Xenopus tropicalis: one gene and its partner. The protein of the gene in region 1 interacts with the protein of each later gene in a biochemical or structural test. Links are inferred from orthologs where the notes say so. Each region holds a gene or a part of one and is shown on either strand. Other genes may lie near its edges. The genes, in order: reps2 and epn1.

Evidence for each region.
Region 2: the proteins of reps2 (region 1) and epn1 form a complex in vitro, tested with the Homo sapiens proteins (3 studies listed by BioGRID and IntAct, with this or other methods). The link is inferred for Xenopus tropicalis from reciprocal best matches to the Homo sapiens genes REPS2 and EPN1.

What each region holds. Positions count from the first base shown.
Region 1 is NC_030678.2:94,753,242-94,763,022, forward strand, and holds part of reps2 (ralBP1-associated Eps domain-containing protein 2), read left to right. Parts: intron 1-1,122; coding exon 1,123-1,264; intron 1,265-3,976; coding exon 3,977-4,040; intron 4,041-6,192; coding exon 6,193-6,335; intron 6,336-8,773; coding exon 8,774-8,850; intron 8,851-9,781. UniProt on the Homo sapiens protein: Involved in ligand-dependent receptor mediated endocytosis of the EGF and insulin receptors as part of the Ral signaling pathway. By controlling growth factor receptors endocytosis may regulate cell survival.
Region 2 is NC_030683.2:104,089,922-104,099,802, reverse strand, and holds the start of epn1 (epsin-1), read right to left. Parts: upstream 6,002-9,881; 5' UTR 5,973-6,001; intron 595-5,972; 5' UTR 311-594; intron 1-310. UniProt on the Homo sapiens protein: Binds to membranes enriched in phosphatidylinositol 4,5-bisphosphate (PtdIns(4,5)P2). Modifies membrane curvature and facilitates the formation of clathrin-coated invaginations. Regulates receptor-mediated endocytosis.

The DNA of each region.
Region 1 (9,781 bases):
AAAATGTAGGAACATTGTATTATTTTACAGTTCTTTTGCTGAATCAAGGAAAAGGAAAAGATGTTAGTGGATGTTAGAAAGTATAGCTAATACTCCAAAGGATCCCCTTGGTACTCCATGCTGGGCAAATAATGCTGATATGCACACCGCTATGTGTGAGAATGCAACATCCTGCTAGATATGTATACAATTATAAAAATATATTATATTAATTTAAGTTTTTGATGCACTTTGTATACAAATAGACAGGTGACACTGATCAGTTTAAATTTATGGTACAGTATAGACCGGATATATGTCTTTTTGCTGCATGCAAACTGCCTCATGTTAAAATAACCACAAGGCTTTTTTTTTGCTTTATGCACAGAATTATAATAATTTTCTCTATGTTTTACCATTAAAGGCTCATAAATGTCAAATTAAAAATGTTTACAAACTGTGCTCTACCAGTTTAGGATTTTCAGCCTAAGATTTGAAGTTGTAAATGTAATTCTTACAGTGATTCAGGCAGACTTGGATTTAATTCATTTGTCAATTGACTGTGACCTTGAGCAATATCATTTAGTTCTTTAAGGTCAAATAGTAGATCACTAACTGTATGGGGGATACAGGAAATATACAGGAAATATTTTTTTTACACCACTGAACAGGGTCAGGGTTAGGGGTAGGCAGAAGAGGCAGCTACCTAGGGCTCAACTTATGAGAGTAAGTGGTGTGGTAGCGATCAGGAGAGGAGACAAGGTACTTGCCTTGGGTGACAGTACCTTTTGGACTGACTCTGCTTCTGAATTTAACAAAAACCTCAAACCTTTTTTATTCTTGAAAAAATATTTGCACTTCCAGTAAGGGATAATATACTGTATCTTCTTCTGTATACCATGTAGAATAAACAATATGCTGAATTAAACAAAAGGGGTTAAGTATACACACCCCTCCAGCTTTGGTTGAACAAGAAGTGCAACGGGTCAGACACAATACATGACTACTACATTGTGTATTTCTCTGTGTCCAAATCTGCATATGGATACTGAGTTTATTCCTGATTTACAGTAATTTGAAAAAATATTTTACAATCATTATCTTAATCTTTATTGATAAAGCGATAATTCTTTTTTTTTGCAGCTTTCACTCTCAGTTGAAAGAGAATCACTTGATGATCCTAGTAATTACTCTGAGGACCCCTGGAGGATAACGGAGGAACAGCGAGAGTATTACACTAACCAGTTCATAACTCTTCAGCCTGACCTAAAATCATTAATTTCTGGTAATTATATTTTTGTTTAAATATCATAGTTTCATTCTGTAAGGAATTTCCATTCTATGCCCCAGATTCACTTCTATTTCAATTCCAAAATTTCCTATAGATTTTACTACAAAGATTGCATGAGTCCCTAAAGATCTTATTTAACATTTCAGAAATCTAAAGGGATTTACAAATGCAGTGTGCAAAGGTGCATTGTTTAAATGTAAGTCACCATTTTTTCCCTACAATGCAGCATTTTTTTAGGACTCACTTCCACAGAATGCTGATGTTCTTGTGACTGGTGTTAATGGATGGGTATTAAGGGAATTATAGAGGTTGGGGCCCCATAATCATAAGTAAATTTTAGAAGATATAGAAGAATATGTGCAGTTTCCTTTATATTGTCAGTTATCTGAATAATCTAAATAAGAGGTTATTGAATTGTTGATTATGTACACAAAATAAAAAAGCACCTAATGTTATTCCTTAACTTGACTCCAACAGGACACACATATAAATATATATGTACTTGTATGTATTATAGTATCCATATGGTGCTCACAATTATCCACTGACAAAACAGCAATACATACAGTGGAGGAAATAATTATTTGACCCCTCACTGATTTTGTAAGTTTGTCCAATGACAAAGAAATGAAAAGTCTCAGAACAGTATCATTTCAATGGTAGGTTTATTTTAACAGTGGCAGTAGCACATCAAAAGGAAAATCGAAAAAATAACTTTAAATAAAAGATAGCAACTGATTTGCATTTCATTGAGTGAAATAAGTTTTTGAACCCTCTAACAAAAAAAGACTTAATACTTAGTGGAAAAACTCTTGTTTGCAAGCACAGAGGTCAAACGTTTCTTGTAATTGATGACCAAGTTTGCGCACATTTTAGGAGGAATGTTGGTCCACTCCTCTTTGCAGATCATCTCTAAATCCCTAAGGTTTCGAGGCTGTCTCTGTGCAACTCTGAGCTTGAGCTCCCTCCATAGGTTTTCTATTGGATTAAGGTCCAGAGACTGACTAGGCCACTCCATGACCTTAATGTGCTTCTTCTTGAGCCACTCCTTTGTTGCCTTTGCTGTATGTTTTGGGTCAGTGTCGTGCTGGAACACCCATCCACGACCCATTTTCAGTTTCCTGGCAGAGGGAAGGAGGTTGTCATTCAGGATTTCACGATACATGGCTCCGTCCATTTTCCCGTTAATGCGAATAAGTTGTCCTGTGCCCTTAGCAGAAAAACACCCCCAAAGCAAAATGTTTCCACCCCCATGCTTGACGGTGGGGACGGTGTTTTGGGGGTCATAGGCAGCATTTTTCTTCCTCCAAACACAGCGAGTTGAGTTAATGCCAAAGAGCTCTATTTTGGTCTCATCAGACCACAGCACCTTCTCCCAGTCACTCACAGAATCATTCAGGTGTTCATTGGCAAACTTCAGACGGGCCTGCACATGTGCCTTCTTGAGCAGGGGGACCTTGCGAGCCCTGCAGGATTTTAATCCATTGCGGTGTAATGTGTTTCCAATGGTTTTCTTGGTGACTGTGGTCCCTGCTAATTTGAGGTCATTAACTAACTCCTCCCGTGTAGTTCTAGGATGCTTTTTCACCTTTCTCAGAATCATTGACACCCCACGAGGTGAGATCTTGCGTGGAGCCCCAGAGCGAGGTCGATTGATGGTCATTTTGTGCTCCTTCCATTTTCGAACAATCACACCAACAGTTGTCACCTTCTCTCCCAGCTTCTTGCTAATGGTTTTGTAGCCCATTCCAGCCTTGTGCAGGTCTACAATTTTGTCTCTGACATCCTTGGACAGCTCTTTGGTCTTTCCCATGTTGGAGAGTTTGGAGTCTGCTTGATTGATTGATTCTGTGGAAAGGTGTCTTTTATACAGGTGACTAGTTAAGACAGGTGTCCTTAATGAGGTTGACTAATTGAGTAGAAGTGTCTAACCACTCTGTGGGAGCCAGAACTCTTAATGGTTGGTAGGGGTTCAAAAACTTATTTCACTCAATGAAATGCAAATCAGTTGCTATCTTTTATTTAAAGTTATTTTTTCGATTTTCCTTTTGATGTGCTATCTGCCACTGTTAAAATAAACCTACCATTGAAATGATACTGTTCTGAGACTTTTCATTTCTTTGTCATTGGACAAACTTACAAAATCAGTGAGGGGTCAAATAATTATTTCCTCCACTGTAGATGTTTGGGTATAATGCTTATTTTTGTTTTAAATCACATTCTGGAGATAAGTTAGAGCAAGATTTGGGTTGAACACCTTACATTATTCTGTGTGGTAATGGAACTATGACTACACAACTGATAAATTAATAATTCTATATATCTGTAACCTTGTTAATAACTAAGAGGGGGCAATGGTCAAATGTTTGGCCTTCAAAATGGGCCTGAGCCAAAAAAAAACACTATTCTACGATTAGTAACATCTTCCTACAGATACAGAAATGCCGCAACATACTTGTAAATGGTTTGTTAATTATGCTTTATTTTTCATTTTATAATAAACATTGCATATTTTGTGTAAATAGTATTGAGATGCCATTTTTATGGAACCATTTAGAAACATTCTAGCATTTTTATTGTAAACAGTACAGTATACTGTTAGCGTGTACCATTTGTGCATTAATGTAAGTATTGAATTTTAATTGAAGTAGAGAGAACATTGTTTTTTTATGTTGGTTTTTTTTTTGTATTGTTAATTCTCTGTAGGATCTGTAGCAAAGAACTTTTTCACCAAATCAAAGCTGCCTATTTCAGAGCTCTCACATATATGGTAAGAAGACTTTATGTCTATAACAAATATTATATGATGAACAGTTATTTTTTCTGTTTTAAACCTTTTATGTCTCAATAGAATGAAACAGAAAAGGTGAGAAAAGTGATGTTAATTGGTAAGGGTAGATGAGTAAACTGTGTAGAAAAGCTAGTAAGTTAATATTTGAAGTACAAAGTATATGAATTGAAACAAACACAAAAAAAAGTAGAAAAAAAGATGGAAGAAGGAAAAATTAGGATTTGTGTAAAGTTTACAAAATTGGAATATAAAGCATGCTTGAAGAACAGAAAATGAAGCAAGTATACTTGGTGTTAAAAATCTCAATGGGAAGTAGTGGGCAGTAGCAAATGTCTAGTGTTTTATGATTTAAAGGAATATTGTTGTGGGAAAACATTTAAAAAAAAAAAATGAATCCGTTAATAGAGATTATCCAGCAGAACCCTGCATTGAAGTCTGTTTTTCATAAGTGCAAACAGATTTTAATATATTTAATTTTGAAATTTCACATGGGGCTAGCCATGATCTTCATTTTGCAGGGTGCCATAGCAATGTGACTTGTGCTCTGATAAACTTCAGTCACACTTTACTGCTGTGCTGCAAGTTGGAGTGATATTACCTCCCCTCCCCTTTTCCCCCAGCAGCCAATCAGCAGAACAATGGGAACAGTGTCGGACTGAGATGGCAGGGGCCCACCAGAAAACCCTGGACCATGGGCCCACTCTTAAAACTCTCCTCACTCAAACTCTCTATTATCCTAGTCTCTTTTCTCTACATTCTATACTCTATTCTTCCATCTATCAAGCTTCCTTGTCCCATACTGAAATAGGGAATGACCATGAAATAGGCTAAATAGTTAGAAGCAAGAGGGCCCACCAAGAGTTTTCCTGGTATCCTGGTGGGCCAGTCCGACACTGAATGGGAAGGTAACAAGATAGCAGCTTCCTGACACCTGTATTGCTATAAGTGGTAGATATGATAACAGCACTTAAGGGGCGTGACAGACAGGGAGATTAGTCGCCCGCAACAAATATCCCTTATCCCCAAAATGTTAGGCACCCCCCAGTGACTTAAATCGGTTACCTTTTACCACGGGCTGGGGTACCTGCAGCGAGCGTCTCCTCTTCTTTCTGCCGTCCTTGCGCAAAAAACTTAACAAAAAAGTCAGCTTTTTCACTCTACTGCGCGTGCGCTGGCCCAGGGATTCCAAAGATAGAAGAAATAAGGAAGAGGAGACCCTAGCTGCAGGTACCCCGGGCTGGTGCTGTTTTCTCATAACAGGGGCACCAGCCCAGGGTATCAGGTAAGCGATTAAAGTCACTGGGTGGTGCCTAACATTTTGGCACCCCCAAGTGCCTTAGCCTTTCCTTCTCCTTTAAAAGTAAAAAATCCAAATCTGGCTCATGACTCCTCCAGTTACATGGGAGTAGGAGAAACAGTAGGTTATCTGAAAAGCAGTTCTAAGGGTGAATAGAATCAGTTACCTTTGGCACTTGAGTAAAGTTTCACATTTTTTCAAATCAACCGGTGTGCTGCTGTTTTCATCATTTAGCTCTAAGGGTGAAGACACACAGAGCTACTAGTAGCAGCTACTTGTCACTGCTACTAAAATAGATAATGCTGATTATTTACTGATAACTGTCTCTATGTTTGTTTTAGCAGAGGCAATTCTCAGCATTTGCTTTGGCAGGGTTTTTTTTGGTCTTTAGTAGCTGTGAAAAAGTAGCTGCTACTAGTAGCTCTGTGTGTCTTCACCCCAATGTGTAGCGCTGGCAGGCTCCTTCTGCAAGTTCATAGACAGGCACAATGCACTGAGGTGGCTGCCTACACACCAATATTACAACTAAAAAAATACATTTGTTGGTTCAAGAATAACATTTTAAATGTTAGAGTCAATTATTTGCTATGTAAACAATGTAATTTAGAGATCAAAAGTATATTGTAAAAATCATCAAAGAATCATTTTAAACACTATCACCACCCTTTACACTCACACAGATTGCTCAGTTAGCTTTTAGAATAGGTATGGTTTAGGATGATTTACCTTTCAGTCAGTGCAGGTTAATATGTGACAGATATTTCTGTCCTAGAGGGTATAATCAGCCCATAATATATTGTTTCTTCCTTTTTGCTTTTTTGTTCCTCATTGCAGGGATCTTAGTGATGTAGACTGTGATGGAGCCCTAACACTGACTGAATTTAGTGCTGCTTTTCACCTCATTGTTGCAAGGAAGAATGGCTATGAGGTGCCAGATACACTGCCCCGGACTTTGTTGGCAGAAATTATTCAAACAGGTAAGCACATTAGGCTCATTTAGTGACAGTAAATTGCATGTTTCTGTGGTTTTTTTCTTAGCTGTACAACTAACAACTCTGTTTATACAAATAAAAATTTACAGAGGACTTGCTATTCTTTAGTTTAAACTATACAGGTATAACAAAAATGGAAAAAAGATCAAAACTGCCGTAGAATAATCAAAGCAAGACTGCTTTTGAGATGCATGGCTATTAACAATGTATATTTCTATTCTCAGAATTGGTGAACTTCTTTGATTCTGCTGTGCTATGGACTTTAAGGGGCTGATTTACTTACCCACGAACGGGTCGAATGGAGTCCGATTGCGTTTTTTTCGTAATGATCGGTACTTTGCGATTTTTTCGTATGTTTTGCGATTTTTTCGGATTCTTTACGAATTTTTCGGATCCAATACGATTTTTGCGTAAAAACGCGAGTTTTCCTATCCATTACGAAAGTTGCGTAAAAAGTTGCGCATTTTGCGTAGCGTTAAAACTTACGCGAAAAGTTGCGCATTTTTCGTAGCGTTAAGTTTTAACGCTACGAAAAATGCGCAACTTTTCGCGTAAGTTTTAACGCTACGCAAAATGCGCAACTTTTTACGCAACTTTCGTAATGGATACGAAAAACTCGCGTTTTTACGCAAAAATCGTATTGGATCCGAAAAATTCGTACAGAATCCGAAAAAATCGCAAAACATACGAAAAAGTCGCAAAATATTCGTTTTCAAGTCGGAACTTTTCCAATTCGGGTCGGATTCGTGGGTTAGTAAATCAGCCCCTAAGGGTTATCCTGGACTCAAGTGCTAGAGCACTAATGACTGCAAAAAAGCACCTCTTAATTTACATCCATAAAACACTTGCATTTTAGGGGTCATGCTACAATGGTAGGCCCAATGCAGACCTGTCATTACCATCTACCTATAATTACAGGTTTCCTTTTAGGTCTGTGCCTGCCTGCTCTCCCAAATTTATACATTATACCCACCTGTGCCTCAAAAATACAACCCTGTCATCTCCAATAGAAAGTAGAGTAGTGAATAGCTCAAGCTATTGTACAAATCTGGTATTGTCTTCAGAGTATTATCAGAGTCTTCACACTGAAGTAAATGATTCTAAATTCCAGATCTGCTTGCAAATATAATTGATAATATGATGATTGCTGCTGTTGCACAAGTTAATGCTGCTGCAATTCAGCATTGTGTTCAGCTCTGTGCCATCCAGTTCTTTAGAGGACAATCCAGTTCTGCTTTTTGTTGTGTATCATATGGTATATTTGCATGAAGAAGCTTCTGTACTACAGCAAGTAGCCTGTTACTAGGATACAAAAACGTGCTTTCCTGTGAATCATGGTAGAAGGCTTTGAAATTACATAAAAATATATAAATGAGTTGTATGATGTTATATGATTGTTGGTCATGAGCATCATTAACTTGGCACCTGTATAATTAATATATGTCACTAAAGATTTATCATTACTCAGGCTCCTGATGGAGCTTTGAAGGAACATCAGGTAGTGATTTGTCACTCCAGTGATTGACTGCTTCACAGGCAGGAGGCAAAATGCTACAAGTCAATCCCTTTTCAAGGTAAATAGGAATTTCCACTGTAGGCTATCCAGTCTAGTGACATGGTGGTAAAAAATTAAACACCGGTTGTTTTCAGGTAGTATGTGTCTGTCAGTAGACAGTCCCCAGTGCATAGTGGTAATTCCCATTAACTTCCCTGTTTCTGTTGTTTTGTCCCCTTTCTGCAGAGCAAGAAAATGCTGGGGGTGACAAAATGATAGAAATCATCCAGAGTGCCATTACATAAAACCAGTTGAATAGTAACATGTGACAGAGCCAACTGGAATATGCCGCACTTCTAAGTTGACGTCTCTGCTTTTATTAACTACTTAACAGGAGTATAGAGTTGAAGCCAAAGGTTACATAATGTTTGTGCTTGGTAATTTAGAAAAAAAATAGGTAAATAGACTCTCTAAATAAAAACAACAACTGTATATTCTGTATACTCACTGATTTTATTGTATTGGCAATTTATAAAAATGTGGTAACAATAAAAAAAGGTCTTTGGCCTGTTATGTGTAATTTAACAGTATACTAAAGCCATTGATGCCTGCCTAGTCAACAGGAAACAATATAAAATTTGTCCTCAGACTCTCCATTGTTTACGCCTTGGGGATGCACTACTGCAGGACCTAAATAACAGATGATTTTAAATGTAATACAGTGCTACTGCCAAGACAGTACTTACAGGGAGAGGAGACATTTTGTTGCAAGTCAGGCCCTTCAGCATTTACATCTTCTGGTACGCATGCAGATATGCAGCTATCTTGATTGGTTTTAGCTAGCATTTTAACAGTGTATATGGGCATTTGAATCTTATACTATACTAAATATAAAGATATGGTAGCTTAAAACAATTGTTAATTGCAGGTTCATTAAAGCCAATTTCTGGTGATGCATACGAGGGCTGTCGTGGAACAAGCACAGTTTGCCAGAGCAGAAAAGAGGTAACATATGATCTGCAGTTAATTTTTCAGTGTTAGATACAGTAATGCAATAGTACACAATGACTATGTACAGCTGCAGGAAATTGTTAGACTTTAACTGAACGGCTTTATGGTGGTCACTTCATCTCAAGATACTGTAGCTGAATATAGTAGCTTTTTATTACAAGTCATCCTGCTCCTTTGAAGTCACCAGGAAACTAAAGGGATACTGTCATCAAAAATTAAAACTTTTTTTTATAACTGTCATAACAGTGTCTTTGCATGAGCTTTATAATTTTTTATTTGCCCAGTGCTTTTATATTACCTATTTAATGCCCCAAGTTCCTCTATGAGGGGGGTGCCATATTTGTGCAGCAATAGTCCATTAGCATTAGAAGCTATAACTGAGAGGCTGAGAAGGCACAGTCAGGTTGGCAAAACAGTCAGGTTTAGGAACTTCAAGTAGCATTTACTTATAAAAGCAGCCCTATAAGCAAAAAATGATCAACATGACCTATAGATAACTTTCAATGTACATTAATATTTTTTTTGTGTCTGTATCACTTTAATTAATTTTCCTTGCTACACTAATGGACAATGGTAGGCTATTTTCTTAGCCAGCACCAAACAACAGTTTATGCCCCACAGCTAGTTGGTGGTATGCCATATCAGCCATATGGGACATCAGCAAGAACATTTAGTTCATAATTAGTTAGCAAAACAGTGGTGTAGCTACAGTTATTGGAGTGCTGTACAATGAAAGATCTGCTGCAGATATCAGGAGTATTCATTCAGCCAATGACTCAAACACTTAGGGGTCTTATGTGCAGCTGTTAGCCCATGGACTGCATTCCCAGCCCATGTGGATCCTTGGCCAGTCTCATGGAGCACAAATAATATATTGATAGCCAGACCTATAAGTTCCTAACTCAGACAGTAGATAATTTCTTTT
Region 2 (9,881 bases), on another chromosome or scaffold:
CGACAGTGCTTTAATAAAGCATTAGTAATGTGTTTTACATTAAATATGCATTTCCATTTCCATTATCTGCACAAAGTAAACACATTCAGGGGTTAAAATCACTTTAAATAAGCAACTCCACCAGACCACTTAATTTGTTATATACATGTATCACTTGCCCTAGAAACAAATAGATATAGCACCCTTATTTACGGTAAGGTTTACATTTAGCAGGAAAAATATATAAATGTTAATGACGACTGGAAGTAGTCCACATTATTTAATGCAATTTATATATAAGAATGTGGTGTTACAAGCGGTTTGCACTTACCTTCACAGGGCAAGGATGTGGCTCATGATCTAGAGAAGACCTTCAGCATTCTGTATTCAAGCTTTAAACCATGCAGGCCAAGTTAACAGCACATATATGGGGAAAAGGTTTATAATAATCCAGTAAAGCTCAGAGGTCCCAAATTAACACAAAATCCAATGGCTATCTACGGTACATAATATGGTCCATAAAGTTGTCTAAATAACTCAAAGTGATGCCGTTGTCAAGATCAGTTAAAGTCTGCTGTTGGTGTCCCAGAAAAAGTCTTATATCCAACTGGAAACCTAAACAGAAGACAAAAAAAAAAAAAAAAAGATGAATGAATTAGTTTTAACAGAACTCATCTCTTCTGGGTCATGTCATGCAGGGTCATGCGATTGCAAACAAGCTGATCAGCTATGATTCCTATACCAATCCCAGTAAACGTAGCACATGGTTTTTGGCATTCCAAGTTCCAATAACAGATTTGATGTCTGCAATAATTTACAAAAAGGGGAAGACAAAACTGCTTGATTATTTAAATTTTTTTAGCAAGACAATATAATTAATAGAAATGGCACCAAGAAACGGTTCTAAAATGGCCCAGATCTGAGCCAGTCCCTATTCTCAGACACAGCTATAAAAAAAATACCATAATACTGCAATACTCACAGCTATAAATACATATAAATTGCAAAACAATTGATTAGATTAGATTGGCTTAAATTCAAAATATAAATTATTTATAAGCAAAGTTTTTTTTCCCTAGAGAACATGGTAAATTATCCAATATTATCATCCCTTCTCTGCATACCAATTGTAATTGTAAATGAATTGCCGCTGACACACCATTCATCTAAAAAATTGCCCTGTAGTGTAAATATTTTGTGCACACAGTATCTCTGCACTTTATATATTTCACAATGCAAGAGAGCCTCTTCCACATGTTATCAATTGCCATGTTTGGGTAAGAAGGATACGAATTGTTTAAACTGTTTTGGAACTAATATTAATAATGGTCTCAGTAGTCTTCAGAAACTCATACAATACAGGTGACCTTGATACAATCCTGCAGGTCAGTTTCGGTCAAAGGAGTAGTGGTATGCGAGTGCCAAGAAAACATATATGTACAAATAAGCCCTCCTGTAAGATTTCCCCAAAAATATTTCTATACAAGTTTTAATGCAAACTTTGTGTAGTTAAGCATTGTGGCACTCAGAATCCAGAATTGTCTGAATATCACCCCCAAACTAGGACAATTTGTATCTGGTGAGATGAATGCATAATCAGGAAATGTAAAAATTCAGGTATTTCCACGAAGCTCACAGTACAAAAAGGAAACACCAAAATGAATATTTAACATATATCATGCTACATGCCAGAAATTAAGTCTACAAAGTATATTGCAATAGTGTATGAATATCAGCACTACAACAGATTCTTAACCTTTGATATAGCACCAAAAAGTGGCCCCTGTGCCCTTTAAAGTGGGTCTTCATAATACCTTTCATACAGAGAAACTGCCTACTACAGCAGGAAGAAGTAACCAAAATGAAGCGAGTAAGTCATCTAGGTTCTTGGGCCACAAAACAGACTTCCAGACTTAATCGCGGTACCCTAACAAATTAGTTAAGCAACCCTGCATTACAAGATAAGAAAGTAAAATAAAAAGCTGATGTGTATGCTGTAATTGGCCCATATATATCAATTAATAAAGCATAAGTATATCAGCCCTTTAAGCAATGTAATAGTGTGAGCTAGGCCTGCTGGCATTTACGGATCAACAGGCAGAAATTACATAAACTGTACATAAAGGCATGTTAGCAGGGAATAAAATGAGCTGGGTTTCTCCATTCACTTTCCTATTATCTCTCCTATAGCAGTATGATGACAGCTTTTCCATTCTGTAATATTTCTAAAACAAAAAAGGGACATTCATTAAGTGCTATGTTACCATGTCCTTTCTGGTTAAACTTCAGCAGCCCTTAAAGGGCTAATTCACCATTAACTTAACTTTTAGTACGATGTTAACATTGATAATTGCAATTGGTCTTTTTTTTTTTTTTAAGTTATTTAGCTTATTTATTATTAAGGTCTTATTAACCTTAGCAACCAGGCAGTTGTTTGATATATAAATAATTGAGGGGCCAAAGAGGTAGACAAACAATAAAAAGTAACAATAACAATTAAATTCTAGACTCACAAGCACCTGCTTTGAGGCCACTGTGAGCAACATCCAAAGGGTTGGCAAGCAACATGTTGCTCCCGAGCCACTGGTTGGGGATCACTGTTCTATAACATACTAAAAAGTTAACATAAAGGTGAACCACCCCTTTAATTCCACTGAGGTTCCTTACCACGGCAGGAAAGCTGCCTGAAACCAATATATCAAGAAAAGTTGTTGCCAAGTTCATGGAAGGCGGAGTAAAGCTAGAAAAGATCACAGGTGGCACAGCGCCCAATACAGCCCCAGGTGCCATTGCCTTTACTTGCTCCGAGACTGTCAACCAACCCAGTGTCATGAGGGAGATAATAGTCCAGTCCTGGATTCCTCTTCACACTAAATGATAACATGAAATATGGTCTCATGAGTTGATCATTATTATATAGTGTGAAGAGGAATCCAGGCCTAAAAAAAAAAAAACTGGACCATAAAGGACTGGACCATAATCTCCCTCATGACATGGGGCTGGATGACAGTTCTGCATGCTACAGTTCATTGAGGAGTTTTTAAGAGACAGGCATGTTTTCCCCCATCAAAAGTCCATAATTTTGTTTGCTCAAAGACCTAATGGAAGAAGCTCCACTCCCATTTACAACCAAGCTACTAGACCACTGCCAGCTAAAAGCATGATGGCGCAAGCAGCAATATTTAAATGCTGACAAAGCAAAGAGTATGTGATCTGTCCAAAGCAGCTTTATGGCACTTGCTTAGTCTCTGAGTCACATAGCACTTTGTTTTCACCCACAAACGACGACACTGCAATAGAACTAATGAAAGCAATGGGTTAATGGCACTTTAACACCCACAGACGGGAAGCTATATTGAGCTATCTACTGCTAACAAGGCTCGCCAGTCTTACAAGTAAAGGTCCAGCAAGTTGCAATTACGTGTGAATGGCATAAGCGACACCTTCTGCGCATCGACAAAGACCAATTAGCCACAATTTGTGCTAATTGAGCTAATCTGTGTACTTGCTGCTGGAAAATCACCTTGACTTCAGCAAAAAAAAATTAATTTGAGACCAAATATAGCAAAGAGTTTGTAAGCAAATCACAGAAGGCAATAAAGGCTATATTAAGCACATCTGACTGCATTTAATATTAATGCAGTGTTGCAGGGATAGATACATGCACTTCATACACTTTGCCTTGCCCAATCAAATCTGGAGATAAAATAAAGGATTATTTTGGCCCCCTTTATGTAAGCAGACACAGCCAATCAGCAGGCAGTATATTCCACTGAAAGTACACATTAAACATGCCCTAGCAGGTTATCTTCCCATTCTATCTTCCTTACAGAAGCAGCATTGTTGGTAGCATAGCGCAGAGTGGATCTAAACATAATGAATAATGCTGAATAACACAAGAGGAATCAAATATCAGTGATTAGTGGTATATCATTTTGGACTCAGTCCTGTATCGTATTCTACACAAACATTAGGCTGAATCTAAGCCTGGATAGTAGCATATTAATATCAGAGCACGACTAAGCCAAACAAATTTTGCTGTGTATTACAGTGGTGTGACAACAAAACTTTAGGGTTTGGCCTTAGCGTAAGGGTATGTCCAAAATGATTCAGTCAGGCAGATAACTGTAATATTGCTGCTTACCTGCCCATATGGCAGCAGACGTCAGCACCCCAGGGTTCCCTTAGTGACTAGTAAGTGCTGCTTGTTTCCTGGCGTGTGAAATCTGCCTTCTGCTACAGGAGGCCCATAGAGGACTATCCTGGAGGTATATTTTACAACAAACTGTATCTGACATAACACAAGAACCATGCACTTTACCCATGGGGTGTTTATGCTGCAGCAAAGTGGCTCACTCTGTTATAGGGATAGGCCCTGCATTTGGCTGTTAAGGAACCATTCATGAAATTCACTGGAACCCAGCACACCTTAAACATCACTAACTGAGCAATGTGACCACCTCAGATACATGCCCAATCTATGAACCAACATATATACTTTATTATAAAAATTCTCAATGTAATCTTCCTCCTAATGTGACTATACACATTCTGAGCTAGACTGAGCTGTAGTAAACCACAAGCACTGAAACAGCAGCTCTGACTGCCAAGTGCACATATCTTTCCTGTTAAAGCCTTTTTCTGCTGAGCAATGCAATGCTGAGAGCATAGTCTGCAGGCCGGCATAGCAGTTAGCTTATTTGCAGGGATCCAACTGGAGGTGAATAAGCTAGCACATGGAGTGCAGCAATGCTGGGTGCAAAACGGTACATAAGGAATTTCAGGACTGTATCGATAAAGGAGAATTCAAACCTGCCCCCCCCCCAGCTGTTGGCTACTACCAACATGCCATTATGTTTTAGCATGTTCCCCACAACCCTTTCTAACCTAAAAAGACTTTATGGCACATAGTATGTGCTTATTTACAGGCACCATGAAGACAACAACCTATGAATGGCCAGCCTGCCACTCTCCAGTTAAATGACTAGCAGTCATGGCAACAAAAGCCATTGGGCGAAGGCTCCAAGATGCTGAAAACAATATTCCAAAGCCATTTGTTCTAATAAAGGTTTTTTTTTGTCCAGGGAGGGGGGCATAGGAACAAGGCCAATACCATATCGCAATACATAATGCTTTATCACTTTCCATTAAGCAGCCCTTCTCTCCATGGATCAGCCCTAAGACAGAATCTGCATTATTTATCTCAGCTGTCAGTGTATCTGCCATCATCATACACACTATGGAGCAGCTTTTGTGAAAGGAAGTGGAGTAGGTAAGAGAGGGGTCCCTGGGGAACAGGCTGATGGAGGGCCACCCAATGAGAACAGACATACTATACATAAATCAGTGATTTACAACTTTCAGCTTGATGCTGATTCCAACAAAAGAACTAATGCTCTTAAAGGGGATGTAAAGCCATAAATAACAGGTTTCCTAATAAAAGCTAAAAAGTCTATTTAAAATAACTTTAAAGACACTGCAAATTCGTAACCAATGTAAATGGGAAGGTAGCGTGGGATGCCAATGTATTTAGTGGTTGAACACAGAATGCGGGCAGATTAGCGCACAGAATGAAAGTGAAGGCAGCAGGCGGGCCGGCCCCGGGATACAGCTGCAGCAATCTGACCGGCCCCGGGATACAGCCGCAGTAGGCGGGCCGGCCCCGGGATACAGCTGCAGCAGGCGGGCCGGCCCCGGGATACAGCTGCAGCAGGCGGGCCGGCCCCGGGATACAGCTGCAGCAGGCGGGCCGGCCCCGGGATACAGCTGCAGCAGGCGGGCCGGCCCCGGGATACAGCTGCAGCAGGCGGGCCGGCCCCGGGATAAGGCTGCAGTAGGCTGTGACATTCACACACGGAGCGGATGAATGGCAGAAAGCGGAATGTGCCCTCACACTGCGGCTCCGCACATGGAAGGGAAACAGGCGCTAGTTTGCGCACAGAGGGGGGTGCTTGCACAGCAGTATCAGTACATGGCACAGCGCTGTCCCGTACCTCTATCCTTGTATTAACGCTGCCTCTCCTCTGTGCCAGAATGGGAGCCGCAGCCTGGCCACTCCCGAGCCGCTCCAACAGGAAGTCCTGCGGCTCCTCGCCAAGCCGCCCCCGTCCCTCCTGGGCCTCACTCGGAATGTCTCCGCCGCACAGCTAATACACAGCAGCAGGAGCAGGAGCCGCCCCGGAGCCCGCGCCCTTTCACCCCGGAAAAACTAAGGGACGGAAAAGGGAGGGGGCAATTACTGGCAGCCTGAGGACAAGATGTCGCCGCTTCCGCCCTCAGCATGACATCAGGGGCGGCCTCCTTCCTATACCAAAGCTTTATTTACACTATGCGTTGTTCGCTTTTGCGTCTCTGGTTAGAGTAAACAAGCCTGTAACGCTTCTCTGCTGTGTGTGGCTGGATTTAGAACCGTGCAACTGTTTAATATAGTTCCTCATGTTATGGTGACCCCCAACCATAGAGGAGCTGTGTCTTGGTTCCCAAGACCATTGGAAATATGTGTTTCCTGATGGTCTTAGGCGACCCCTGTGAAAGGGTTGTTGGACCCCCAAAGGGATCCTGACCCACAGGTTGAGAACCGCTGATTTAGAATGAAGGGTGCACCTGCGCTTGGCCCTAAGCATTATAGGGCCCGTATGGGCAGAGATACTCAGGGCATGGTGAGAGTTGTAGCTCTACAGATGCAGGATGGTTAGACGTCCTTCTTTCTTTATTTTGGAAGTTCCAATCTTCTTGCATTGCCCTCTTCTCTCTCCTGGCCTGCTTATGATGTAGTAGAGCATCAATCCCTTTATTCTCTATTGTTCTTATTACTAATGAATAGTTTCAATATTATTTCTTACAAAGAAGTCATTGGAGCCATTTTCAGCTGGGCTGGGCCTGGCCATATTCCTCTTGGAGGGCTGTATTTGGCTTACGTGGTAGGCCATCTTTACTGTACTAAACACAAATATCTCAAACCAGTTGTGGTGTTGTTACTGTTCCCCAATGTAAGCAATCGCATGGCCAAGTAGGGCTAGTTTCACATGGACATAAGGTTGCCTTGCACTTCTCTGGTTTCCTTACAGTATTTATTTTATTTTTCAGCAGCTTCCCAGTAAAACTAAATATAATAACCAATTCTGAACCCTTAAGAATCTTCCTTCTTTTGTAAATCCATAAGAAACCCTGCTTCTCCCTTAAAGGAGAAGGAAAGGCAAAATCACTTGGGGGTGCCAAAATGTTAAGCACCCCCAAGTGACTTATGGTTTATCCTTTTTATTGTTTTATGTAACATACATGAAACAAAACATAAAGAAAAACAAAAATAAAACAGGAAGGGAGATTATATACCACTGGTTACGGTATAGCGGTAACATATTATACATGTTTCAGTTTTGTTATGACAAAAGTAATGAAATACAATAGGTTCGGTTGGTATGACCGAGATTATAGGTGTGCAGCGCTGTTTCATTCAATTATATTATACTAGGTTTTGCAGGTAGCGCGGATGTTTTAAAATGATGGTTGCATGAGGATTTTAGTTAGGGAATTAAGGTCATCTGCACGTGTAAATTGGGATTTCATGTCAAGGTACCTTGTCCACCTAGGCCTGCCTCCCACCATGGGCTCCAGATTTTCTCAAATTTCTTTTGGGAACCTCTGGCTAGCAAAGTAAGTTTAATGAGGGGCAAAACTTGATTTACCAGGGTGATCCAGTTTTGAACTGTAGGAGGTTTGGGTCCCATCCAAGCCATTGCAATGATTTTCCTTGCGTAGTATAGGAGTGTCCTATACCTGGTTCTAGCATGGTTGGTGGTTATTAATTCATCCAGGATTCCTAGTATACACACCTGGGGTGTCAGAATTTTGGGGAATTCTAGTTTGTCTGCTAGGACACACATAACCTCAGACCACAATTTGGCTACCTGTGGGCACGACCAGGCCATGTGTAGGAAATTTGCCTCCTCCATCCCACATCTATGGCATCGTGCATCGGGGTTGCGTCCCATAGACCTTAGTCGTGTAGGCGTGAGATAAAATTGGTGCAGCCATTTAAATTGGACAAGTTTGTCTCTTACTGAAAATAAGTAATAATACCCTCTGTCTGTTGCTTCTTCCCAGTCCTCCTCTGTGAGGACTGGGAATGGACAACCATTTGCGGTGTGCTGTTTTGAATGAGGATGGAGTTGTTTGTAGTAGTGTTTTATACAATGTTGATGTAGGTTTGGTTAAAGTGGGGGACCAGAGTGCTGTTTCAAACTGTGGTTGGGACGTTTGTATATCCAACTCCACCGAACCCCCAAGTGACTTAAATCGCCTACCTTCTACCCCGGGCTGGTGCCCCTGTTCGGAAAGAACAGCACCAGCCTGGGGTACCTGCAGCTCTTCCTGCTTCGCTCGTGCGTGCATGCGCAGTAGAGTGAAAAGCTAAATTTAAACAGAAAAGTCGGCTTTTCACTCTACTGCACATGCGCCGGCCACAGGAATTTGCTGGAAAACTAAGCAGGAAGGAGTAAGCACTCACTACAGATACCCCAGGCTGGTGCTGTTTTCTCCTAACAGGGGCACCAGCCCTGGGTACAAGGTAGGCGATTAAAGTCACTTGGGGGTGCCTAACATTTTGGCACCCCCAAGTGACTTTGCCTTTCCTTCTCCTTTAAACCCAGTACTGTCAAATTTTAAGATGGCCATACACAGTAAGATTTGCTCTTTCCAAACAAGCAAATCTTTACCCCAATACGCCCCACCTTGGGTGGGCAATATCCTGCTAATGCAGTCGTTTGGACCTAGGGTCAACTGATCGCATTGCAATGAAGGGATTAGGAAAAGTTGAAGCAAGGACCAAATCAATGAGCCGATGCTGTCCCCGATCTGACGAATAATCAAGTCTGTCCAATTAACATCTGAGCAATTTTTGGCAGATATGGGTCAGAGGACCCCATACACGGGCTGAGTTAAGGTCCCCATACACGGTAAGATCCGCTTGCTTGGCGAGATTGCCAAGAGAGCGGATCTTCCCCCGATATCCCCACCTACGGGTGGGCGATATCGGGGAGCTTGAAGTTAAAAAAAAATCCGATTTATGTAGGCGGCAATGGGGCAGTCGGTTAGGGGACCGCATCAACGAGCCGATGCGGTCCCCCATCCGACTGGATCTTCTAACCTGGCCGACCGATAGCTGGCCAATTTCAGGCCAGATATCGGTCGGCCAGCCCGCTCGTTTCTGCCCCTACACGGGCCGATAAGCTGCCGAGTCGGTCCAAGGGACAGAAATCAGCAGCTACATTCGGCCCGTGTATGGGGGCCTTTAGTTTTAGTGCAAAGACACACTGGGTAAATAGTCACCACAACTTTTTAAAAAGTAGCAGCAACTAAAAGCCACAACACACGATTAGTGTTGACTGCTTTATAAATCTATGGCAGCTAAATTACCACAAATAGTTGCTGCGGCCATGTTTTTTCAAAAGTCACGGTGACTAATCAATGTCGACCCGAATCGGCAGTTGATATCTGCCTGTGTATGGCCATTAGTCTTTCTCACTCTGGGGGAGGGGTATGTGAAAATCCTTCAGTTTCCTGGTCACTTTCTGTCACAACCTGATTGATCAGTTTATTGATTTTCTATAAAGATGACCTAGAAACAACAACGTCGACCATTCCGAAGTCGTGCCTGTCCCCTGCTGATATTGCAGCTTTATGAAATGTATGCTTAGCAAATGCACAGTTCTTATTCACTTTAAATAGGAAACTATTTATAGTGTATTTCCCCCTTCCATGTAGTGAGAATACTCCCCTGTGAGCTAGAAAATGTTAAGTGCCATCACCCTAAAGCAGTGCTGTCCAACTTCTGCGGTGCCGAGGGCCGGAATTTCTCTAGCATACCTGGAGGGCCGCTAATGGAAGCCAGTTTTGACCACTCC